Drosophila melanogaster: one gene and its partner. The protein of the gene in region 1 interacts with the protein of each later gene in a pairwise test. Each region holds a gene or a part of one and is shown on either strand. Other genes may lie near its edges. The genes, in order: Mpc1 and Cyp6v1.

Region 1 (4,372 bases):
GAAGCGAGCCGCGTATCGCGCCGGAAGACGAAGGTGCGCGAAGAGGAGGAGAAGCGCGCCGAGGACACGCTATTGGCCGAGAATCTGCGACTGCGTGCCCGGGCCGACGAAGTGGCCTCCCGGGAACGGAAGTTCAAGAAGTACCTGATGGAGCGCCAGCGGCAGAAGAGCACTTACGTTAAGCAGGAGCAGGACTGAGATTCTCGTAGCCATAGAATAGAAATTGCGGAGCATAAGCCTGTCATAGTACCTATCGTCGTCATCCAATTGTTTAGTTAGTTAAGTTGTCGTTGAAGAAGTCGAGAAGCAGAAATCAAATTTCCATTTCCATGTGGACATCAGTTAAGCCACTTATTAGGCATAGTGATGGCGCCCATAGTGCGCGAGGAGTGTTTAACTTTAATTTTACTTTTATTATGTTTGAGAAAACTAAAAAATTTTTATACCCACGGATATGTTTTTCGTCCAAAGCGTAATCAAAAAAAAAAAAAGCACAACAAAAAAATGATTACGAGTTCGTATGTTTTAACCCCATTGATGAACAAAAAAAAGTTTAAAAAATGTCAACAAAAAAATATGCTATTGTTAAGAACAATTGAAATGTATATTTTACAGATATCAACTTATATAACCGTAATTGTTTGAATAAAAAGCATGTTTCAATAAACGTGACAAAATCAACTAACTTTGTATATTTGAATGGGTTCTATAACGTTCTTCATTTTAATGATTAAATGTTACAATTTTATTACAACCATTTTGTATTGACAGACACTAGACAAAATTAGATTTTGATATCTTTTATTGGATTTTAAACCATATTCATATAATCGTAATCTAAGCATTGCACCGACTTAAAATTTTGATCAACTGCCTAACGGAATTAACTAAATGGGCAAAGTAACAAGTTGGGTATAGACTCAATTGGAATTGGAATTTGACCCCAGCGAAAACGGCTACTGGGGCACGACAACTTCGCGATTCGAGATTCAGCCGATTGTGCGGGTGTGATTCACGGCAATTACTCCACCACTTGGATTTGATTTGAATGGGATTGCGGCAGTGCAATTTGCTAGATCTTCGTTGCGTGTGGTGGCAGTAAATTGCGATAGCTGCTGCTGTTGGGTAAACATTTGAAGTGGCTTCGCGCGTCGCGTCTCGGGGAAGTGGATTTCGGGGCAAGGATTACATTTACGCCTGCTGCTCCTTAGACCCGTAATTGTAGTGAAGGAAGCGAAGACCCTGGATCGATTGGGCGGTGGCATTGGTAGCGTGGCAGGCGAAGAGCAGCCAATTCCTGGGCTGGACCTTGTAGGCAAATCGCATAAAGATGCACGAGTACAGGGTCAGAGCTGGAAAAGATCGAGGATAAGCATTTCTGGGAGACTTATTTACATAGGCAAAGGCACAGGACAAATTATAAGCAAAATTTGTCATAATTTCCATTACATTATGTGCATATTGCCTCGCTGGCATCTTATTCCGATGGAATCGGATTATGGAGTAAAATGGACAAATTGTGCTTAGTTTTTTCTCTGTGCAATCTTATCGGCAGACGTTTCGACAGTTTCCGTATCTGGCTTATCAGGCATTATAGAGTGATTTGTTTAGAACATATCACAGCGGCTCTGATTACGACATCTTAAGCGAAAACTTTCGATGCCAGTCGCGCGTGTATGGATGCCAGATGGAGGCCAAAACCCAAGGGGGGATATCCTTACCCAATGTCATTTTGCCGGAGATGAATTTGGGACTCTTTTGTGTGTCGGCGAGAGCAGCCACCGGAATACCCCAGTTGGCCACCGGGCCCCAGAAGTGGGTACTGTGGATATAAAAAGCAATATTTACAATAAGTCATATAAGGCCAATTGATAACCAACAAACAGACCTCATAAAGTAATCCCGCCACTCCTTTGAGGCCGTTGTGGACATAGCTCTCCTGATCGACATGATGCTACCGCTTTGCTAATTGAATATATCTGACCAGAAATGTTAATCAGAAGCGCACCTGGTGGAATAATTTAGATTAGATTGCCATTGCCGCGCAATATAAATCCGAAAAAAATCCCCTCAAGGTCTTACAGGTTGTTCGCCGTGTTGTTGTTGTTTTTGTGGTGCCAGCTGTTGTTGCTGTTGTTTGTTTACCGCCTGGAACACCTTGATCGAAAACACGAAGAATTTGGAACTGCAGGCCGCGTTGCAGGTGTGTGAAGTGTGTGCCTAAATATTCACAAGCTAGGATATATTTTTTGTTTATGTGTCGGCCGTGTTGTCACTCCGAAAGTTATATAAAATTAGTCAAACGAAAGGCATCAACGAGTTTTCTCTGCCGCGTCGCTGTCGCGTCGGAGTTATCGATAGCCCGTACAATCGCCACATCCAAGGGTCACACTTAGAGATGGACGTCGAATGAAGCGAATGCGATAGGTTTTAAATCTTTTTTTGAAAAGTGGTTAACATAACCTTCAGCAATATTTTAGTTGGGCAAATTTGTGCCCAGGCACTATGCTAAGACTTTTATTAATAAAATATTTATAACAAAAAAATATTCTAGCATTGTAAACAGTGTAAAACAATACAATGCTTTCAAAGCTCTACGCATAAATATCAAGAAATCTAGTATATTGATATTTATATTACATTATTAATATTAACTTAAATATTTATAAAGTCAATCGAAAATTAAACATTTAATTGCTATTCTAAAACGAGTTTAATCTTGTTGCTTTTTCATTTAAAATCCTGTAAGTTATACCGATATATTACACTATCGTTGAAAGTCATTGAAGCGCTTGATCGGTGTCAGGCATATACTGATCGCTGCAACACTCGACTCGATTTGCAATCTCGATAGGCTTGTCGCAGGGACTTCCCTCCCTATATCCGCCGAAAAGCGGATGCTTGATGTGCATTAAGCCCGCTAATTACAAGTGGACGTAATGTGTGCATTTGCAACGCATTTGCTGAAGTGCGGGCGCCACGGTTTTCAAGTGGTTAATCCACCACGCGCTTCCGCTCTTCACTTAATACGCGCTCTTCCGGCTCTCTTAAAAGGACCAAGGCGAAGAGAATTGGGGCGATGGTTTCTGCGCCGACAGCCTGCGCCTGAGTCCTTGGCCGCGGCGGCAGAAGACCAAAGCAGCACAACCAGCAGCATCCGAGTGCGAAGCAACCAGCATCCAAAACCGAATCCAAAACTCCGGCTCAGTGTGAATTTGCGACTCGAGAGCGACGGCGGCTCAAAGGAAACTTGGCTCGGTAAATAGTCCTTATCGAAGGAATCCTGGCACCAACAACACACCACATCCTCTGGCCAAATAACAACAACAACAACAACAAAGTGAAAAAGCGGAATAGGCAAATGGAAATTGTGTTGGCAGTCGATGCCGCTGCTGACTTCGCTGCCACTGTTCTGCCAACTTGTAATCCCCGTGTGTGTCTGTGTGTGTATGTGTGCGTTTGTGTGCTGTGTGTGTGCGTGCGTGCGAGTGTTTATATGTGGTCAGTGTGCCATTTTGCAAGCATTTTCCATGTGCGGTGCTTGGGAAAGCTAAAGAAAATTCAAATTATGCCCAAAGAAACCAACTCCAAGAATTGCCAAAACAAAGACAGATTTTGCTTCTTTAAATTTTTAAATGTTGACTACGCGTCATCAGTTGCCGCAGCTTCAGTTCAGTAAAACCTGAAAAGAAAAACCATTTGAAGAAAAATCAATCCTACACATAATGGTCACTTTTTTTTGTATTCCCACATTTGTTGCTAGTAAGCATGAAATTTTCGTACATTTTCCCCAGTAAGTCTGCCAAAAATGTTTTTCCACGCGAGAAAAAAGGAAAAGTTTAAGAGAAAACCAAATGAGCCGCTCCCAAAAAATCCGAATTTATCAACAAAAACAAGAGCAGAAGCAAGAAGAAGCGTGAAAATGGGGAAAAGCAAGAAAGAGCAACCACAACAACAGACAAAGAAAAGCGAGAAATATAATTGAAAATCAAAGAAAGGGAAACACAAAGCAACCAGATTTGTGAATTTTTTTAAAGGGATTTTTACCAGTTTTCTAAGTAGCGGAAGTAACTATGTGAAATGGGTGTAAAATAAAGACATACTAAAACTTGTGCTCAACTAACATTAAAGCGATTTATATAAAATAATTAGAATTAGGATTCAATATTAAATCCCAAAAGACCAAGAATGGTAAATGATTTCATTCGTAAAGCAAAAGGTGAAACACGTAAAAGAAAAGATGTATGAAACAAACACTCTGTTTGGGGTATAGCAAATATACATGTAGACCAACCATATAGGACGACCTACTTAGCGGCCCTTGAAGGTCTTTGTCGTTAGCTGGACACTTGTGTTTTCCTGGGCGAGATTT
Region 2 (6,792 bases), on another chromosome or scaffold:
CGCCTTAGACCCTAAAGAGCAATTCAAGCTCTGTAAAAACATAACTGAGCAGCAGTTGGTCCAACAGAAAATAGTTGGAATAGTTAGTTACACCGACACTCTGTAGGTTGCTGGTGTTGCATCCGCAGAGGTTTCACCGTACGTCCCACCCTGGAAAAACGCAAATCGAACTGCAGCGCGTGATTTTCGGAAGGTAAGGCCCGGAAAGTCTCGAAATCGAAATCGCCCGCCCAGAGCCACGCCCCTTTGTCAGTTGGCGGAAAACCCTTTCTGTGCGGTCGTGCGTGAAATTTAATCAAAGCAAGACTTAACCCCACGACGCCCCCCATACCAATCGGCGTCCCCTTAACCCCCATGTGAGCCATCAATGTGGCCAACAGTTTTCGGTGTCCCAAAAGTAGACGACATACAAACAACCGGAAATGTTGCACATTTGTAACTTCAGCACACTTTTCCAGAAGGAGTTGAGCGTGTGGGAAAAGTCGGAAAACTGCTCAACAGGGGACTGAGGAGTGGACGTGAAAGTTTTCCATCCGCAGCAAGTGCAAATTTCTGTCAATTGTTGTAAATGGAGTTTCCTTTCTCCTCCGAGCAGCAATTTGTTTGGTAGTGTTTAATTTTTTTACCCAAAATCAGGGGAAAGTAGTTCAATACTGGCCTCACAACAAACTGTTTTCGGGATTCACGAAAATTCAAAGTTTTAATTTCCGATAAGCAACATTTGTTGATGTTTTCGTTTGTTATAAAATAAATTTTAAGCAATAAAAAACAAAAGATACAAGCACACATAAAAGTACTTATTAACTGTAGTTAGTACTAGTTAGTTAACTTAATAATAACACGGCAAAGTTGTTAAGTTATCAGGTAGATAAGTTATACCAAAACCTATCATACTCCACATTTATTTAATTTTGTGCCAGCTTTTTGATTTGGCGCCCACTTTGCACAGGGATGCCTCCTTCGTTAGTTATCGATATTCCCTTGCAAACAGAAGAATACGCGAAAATCAAATCAGCTGAACCGCAACAACAAATGCACGTAACAGAGAAAAAACGAAAAGCAGAGGCAACGAATGGCAGAGGACAGCCAAAACGTTTATTTATAAATCATCACAGGCGACAAGAAATAAGTAATCGAAAAGAACACAATAAAAGCTAGAATGAAAAGCCCTAACAACGAGAAGTGACCATTGTCTTTGTCTTGTACTGCACCCGCTAACAAAAACAAATTTACGCTCTCTTCGCTCTCTTTGTTTTCATCGAAAGATTCGCGGTCACCGTCGCGTCACGTCATTGTTGTTGTTTTGCAGTTTCGCTTTTAATCGTCACTTTTATTTGCGGTCTACTTTGCGCTTTGGCATCTTTCTGTCACCAACAGTGGGACAAACCGAAAGCGCTGGCTCACACGTTGAATAAAAATATACATACATATTTCTAGTAGTTTTTCTGAATATGACTAAAACACAACACAACTTCAATAAATTAGGAATTAAATGTATGAATAAAACGAAATATACATACAATTGCAGTTGTTTTATTAGATATTCCAGCTAAACATTAGAACTAAGCCAAAGATAATTTTTTTGTGATGCATTGCTGTGGGATGTTATTAATTGGACGAAATCACATTTGACCATCACATTGATCGCATCACATACAAATTCAATTATTTTAAGACTTTTTAAAATTAATTTAAAAAATATGGATTTTTGTCATGTATGTAGTTGCTGTGGGGTCGCTGTGCATTCGATTACCTGGACGAAACCGCATTTGACCACCCCTCGCTAAAATGAGTTTCACTGTGCGAACTAGAACATGTGCCTCATGACATGACTGTTCAAATTCTTCGCAAAGCTCTCTTTTTGCGCTCTCTTCTGTATCTGTGTACTATCCCGCCGAAAGATCTCTCCCTCTCTCTTTTGTCTCCCGCAAACTTGCGGTTAATAAAATAAAGCACAAAAGAACAGCATACGTTGATGGGGGCGTCGTCGCCGCTCTGTCGACGTCGCTGCCTTCGTGGGGCTTTGGTCGTTGACGTAGCGTCAGTTAAAAAGCGTCGCTTGGTGGAGCTAGCAAGCGATTTTATTTATATTTTTAGACTTATTTTCTGTAATTCGCTATTTGTAAATTGTATTCGCGGTTTTTTCGCATTTCTCTTGCGACTTCTCTTTCTATCCCTCTCTCTGTGTCTTTCTGCGCGGTGCTCTTCTTCTTTTCGTTCGGCGTGGCTATTTCTTCTTTCGCCTCTTCCATTTGTTGTTGACGTCGCGTTGTTGTGCATTTAATTCTTCATTGTGGTCTGTTTTAGTCATTTTTTTTACATATTTTTTTGTAGTTGTCGTTTCAAATGTGATATAATTAGTTAAGTATTTATTTATAAAACACGCGACGCCGAGAAAAGCCAGAAAGCCCGATAAAGGGACATTGAGGATTGCTAACAAAACAACAACTACAACGATTGGCGGAAAAGAGAGCAACGCAAAGGAGCTACAAAAACAACAAAGACAAAGAGAATCAACAAATAACGGCAAAGCCCCACGCGGAGGAGCGCCAAAACGATAAGAAAAAAGTAGAGCTAAAGCAAAAGCAGAAACAGAAACAACCATAAAACAACGGAAAATGCAGAATATTATTAAACCGCGCAGATAAAATAAAATTTGTCAACCACATTGTTCGAAAGCCCCGACTAAATAAATTGAAAACAAAACTTGAAGAAAGACTATCGGACGATCTTCGAAGAAGAAATATTGCTGGGAAAATAGAACGCTCTTAAGAGAAATGAAATCAGCGAAGTTCAAATAGATTTCCAACAGGAGTTAGAAATGAATTGGATAAATTAAAGATCTCTGTGCAACTAAAAAACACATCAGAAATACGAAGAAATCAAAGAAGCATCATTACAAAAAAAAAAAAAAAATACTATTGAATTTTCACTGAATAAATACATTTAAAAGCTCTTTAGTACTTTATATATATATGAAATCAGAGAACAACTAATAACTTTAGCTTAAAAAACATAGCAAGTTAACTACGGTCGTATAAAAAATACCATATCCGGAGTCATTGTGTCTTACAACAAACAGACGATCAAAACAAAAGCGAAGAGGTCACAACTGCTGGAATAATCTGAAATCTTAGATCGGTCAATCCAAGGCACTATCCGCATATCCCTCCACGATTCAGCCACCGCTGGACCTGACTGCGGATCCCGAGTGCGAGATGGTGTACTCCACGAACATCCTGCTGGCGATAGTGACGATCCTGACGGGCGTGTTCATCTGGTCCCGGCGCACCTACGTCTACTGGCAGCGCCGGCGGGTGAAGTTCGTCCAGCCGACCCACCTGCTGGGCAACCTGAGCCGGGTGCTCCGACTGGAGGAGTCCTTTGCTCTCCAGTTGCGCCGCTTCTACTTCGACGAGCGGTTTCGCAACGAGCCCGTCGTGGGTATCTATCTGTTCCACCAGCCAGCCCTGCTTATCCGCGATCTCCAGCTGGTCCGCACCGTTCTGGTTGAGGATTTCGTCAGCTTCTCCAACCGATTCGCCAAGTGCGACGGGCGCAGCGATAAAATGGGCGCCTTATCGCTATTTTTGGCCAAACAACCCGAATGGCGCGAGATCCGCACCCGTTTAGCACCAGCCTTCGCTGGCGCCAAGCTGAAACAGATGTTCTCGCTGATGGAGGAGGTGAGTCACTCAACCAGCCGGGTCCAAGTTGCAAACTCCCGCTCCCAGGTCCACGACACACGTTCGGAACTCTTACACCGACCAACACAACACACATTTCCACGCTTAATCGCGGGGCCCGATTGAAGAAAAAAATAACCAACAATACTATTTTACTCTGGTTTGACTTGTAATTACACCGATTCCATTTAAAGATAGGAACTGCCTGTTATTCAAATCGAATTCCATTCCCTTACAATCGAAGTGTTTCGCCGGCATATCGTTTTGGATCATAGCTATATTTTAATATTTCGAGGTGCGGCACTTACACCAAGCTACTGGGTAAAATTATTAAATTCAATTTTTTAGGTTCCATTAAATTTCCTCTTCTGATTGTAATGTTTCCAATTTTGATCAATGAGTTACGAAATGGCATATCTTATATTATTGATTATTAATGATAAAAGAACCTCTCTAACGGGCCATGTTGCTATCTGGGGCTTATCAAATCGAACCTGTTTATTGTTACTGACTTGTTGTATCTTATCAAAGGTCACCACCAACTACGGCATTACTACGAAAAAAAAACCATAACGTTTATAGCTCAAGACTTTAGCTCTCCTCTGCTTAGTTTGTTGCCTAGTCGAACCAAAAGTTCTATGCAAATTAATGCTAAGAAATCACAAACTGTGTGCGTTTCAGTAAAACAAATCGAATTTACTAATCATTGTGATAATGCAAATTCCCATGACAAAGCTGAAACTCATGTCCAAACGGTTGACAAGTCTCTAAGGTTTTTCTGTTGTATATCTGTTATGCAAATATCAAGAATCACATCGAGGCACTAATGAAACAAACACTTAATGAAACACTGATTAGCTCTAGCAGCAACATTTGGATACCTATTTATTGATTAACAATCCGTTTGCTCTGTGCTCCTTGTGGGATGTTCTATATCTCCGTAGATCGGCTGCGACTTGGAGTGGTATCTGAAGCGTCTGACTCGAGATCTTAGACGCGGCGACGCGGAGCGAGGGGCGATTGTGAGCATCAAGGACGTGTGTGATCTGTACAACACCGACATGATAGCCAGCATCGCATTCGGACTGAGATCGTACAGCCTGAGGAACACGCAATCGGAGATCGGCTCACATTGTCAGGACCTGTTTCGGCCGAATGTGCGTCGAATAATCGACTTGTTTGTGATCTTTTACCTGCCAAAACTGGTGCCGCTGCTGCGGCCCAAACTTTTCACGGAGCCGCATGCGGAATTCCTGCGCCGAGTCATCCAGCTGGTGATCGAGGAGCGGGAGCGTGGCGGTGATCTGCGCAACGATCTCATCGAGATGCTGCTGACGCTCAAGAAGGAGGCGGATCTGCAGCAGGACAAGTCGCACTTCACGCACCATCGGGACTTCTTGGCCGCTCAGGCGGCATCCTTTGAGGTGGCCGGCATTGAGACCTGCTCGGCGAGCATGTCCTTCGCCCTCTACGAGTTGGCCAAACAACCCCTGATGCAGTCGCGCCTGCGCCGCGAAATACGTGAGGCTTTCGCCAGCAATCCCAATGGGAGGCTCACCTACGAGGCCGTCGCCCGCATGGAGTTTCTCGACATGGTCGTGGAGGAGACTCTGCGCAAGTATCCAATTGTGCCACTCTTGGAGCGCGAGTGCACGCCGATTAACAAGAAGCGCTTCTACTCGCTGAGGCCACACGCCGAGTGCTACACCCGCCGTGGGATGCCCGTGTTCATATCCAATCTGGCCATACATCACGATCCTAAGGTGAGTGCGCAGTTGCATTTAACACATTCCCATAACTGCAAAACTGCAAGTGTTGTTCAGCTCAATCAGTAGTTTGATTCATAGAGCGATCGAGCTAGGAAAGTTTCGGGCATTCTGATATCGAACAGACAAGTATCTGTATTAGTTCCTAACGAGTTCCTATTTCTATGCATAATATGCATGAAACATATCCTTATACCAAAGAAGCTTTTAACTTGTATCGGATATTTAACATGAACAAATTGGGGGAATGATTTATGTTTAATCATAAAGAGTAGTTAAAGTAATATTTCTGTCTAGAAGAGCGTTATTCATTGGGCTATTTCCTTTGCAGTACTGGCCGGACCCGGACCGATTCGACCCGGAGCGCTTTAGTGCGGCGAACAAGGCGCTGCAGGCGCCCATGTCCTACATGCCCTTTGGGGCGGGGCCGCGCAATTGCATCGGGATGCAAATCGGACTGCTGCAGATAAAGCTGGGCCTCGTTTACTTCTTGCACCAACATCGCGTCGAGATTTGCGACCGCACCGTGGAGCGGATTCAATTCGACGCCAAGTTCGCGCTGCTAGCCAGTGAGCAACGCATATACCTCAAGGTCGACTGCTTATAGCCGCCGATCCCATCCAATATCAGCAGCATTACGCTATGGGTTCCTGAAGGGCGGGAGCAGAGCCCCATCGTCATTGTTTTTGTAAATATTTCGGCATGCCTCAAATAAACTTTGCTACGATCTTTTTTTTCTAATCATTAATACAGCTGGCTTGTTTTATGATCTATTTGCGAATTTTAGAAGTACATAGAGCTATTTATTATTATAAGGTGTGTGCAGTACTATGAATTCTCTTTAGAGATATTAGCAGTAGAAAAAAATTTGCAAATTATTCTCAAAAGTATTTTCTCCTCCCACTCGAATTTAAAAATGCTCCATATGCATCATATTAACCTCATTTCATGGGTTAATATCGCTCTCATCTCGTTCGCCATTATTCCAAAGGTGTTGTGGGGGAATAGTGGAGGATCATCGGACTCCATTGAGAGGGAGCAGTGCCCCCGATCTTGCTTTTATTTTTTATGGTCCCGATTTTCTCCACATGCCACCTCAGCGAACTCGAATTTATATTTATTGGCAGGGGGTCGACGGGGGAGGGTCCATTGCGTTCCGTTTCGTTTCGTTTCGTATTGCTGATAACTTATCAGTCAGCCGGGTCTCGGAGGCCTTTGCCCGGTGGCCTGATCGCTTCTATTCTGATTCGGATTCAGTTTCGTATTTCGGTCTCAGATTCGATGGGCTGGCCGCCTACGTCACTGCCATCGCACACTGGAGAGCTTCGGAAGCAAAGTTC

Evidence for each region.
Region 2: the proteins of Mpc1 (region 1) and Cyp6v1 interact in a two-hybrid assay, tested with the Drosophila melanogaster proteins (one large-scale study listed by BioGRID).

The regions. Positions count from the first base shown.
Region 1 is NT_033777.3:18,926,307-18,930,678, forward strand, and holds Mpc1 (mitochondrial pyruvate carrier), read right to left. Parts: upstream 2,354-4,372; 5' UTR 2,083-2,353; intron 2,009-2,082; 5' UTR 1,951-2,008; coding exon 1,889-1,950; intron 1,823-1,888; coding exon 1,722-1,822; intron 1,353-1,721; coding exon 1,192-1,352; 3' UTR 690-1,191; downstream 1-689. Other genes in the region: Xrp1, read left to right, coding at 1-198. UniProt on the Drosophila melanogaster protein: Mediates the uptake of pyruvate into mitochondria.
Region 2 is NC_004354.4:20,655,195-20,661,986, forward strand, and holds Cyp6v1 (cytochrome P450 6v1), read left to right. Parts: upstream 1-1,927; 5' UTR 1,928-2,108; exon of another isoform or gene 2,109-2,334; 5' UTR 2,335-3,218; coding exon 3,219-3,686; intron 3,687-4,630; coding exon 4,631-5,449; intron 5,450-5,783; coding exon 5,784-6,059; 3' UTR 6,060-6,231; downstream 6,232-6,792. UniProt on the Drosophila melanogaster protein: May be involved in the metabolism of insect hormones and in the breakdown of synthetic insecticides.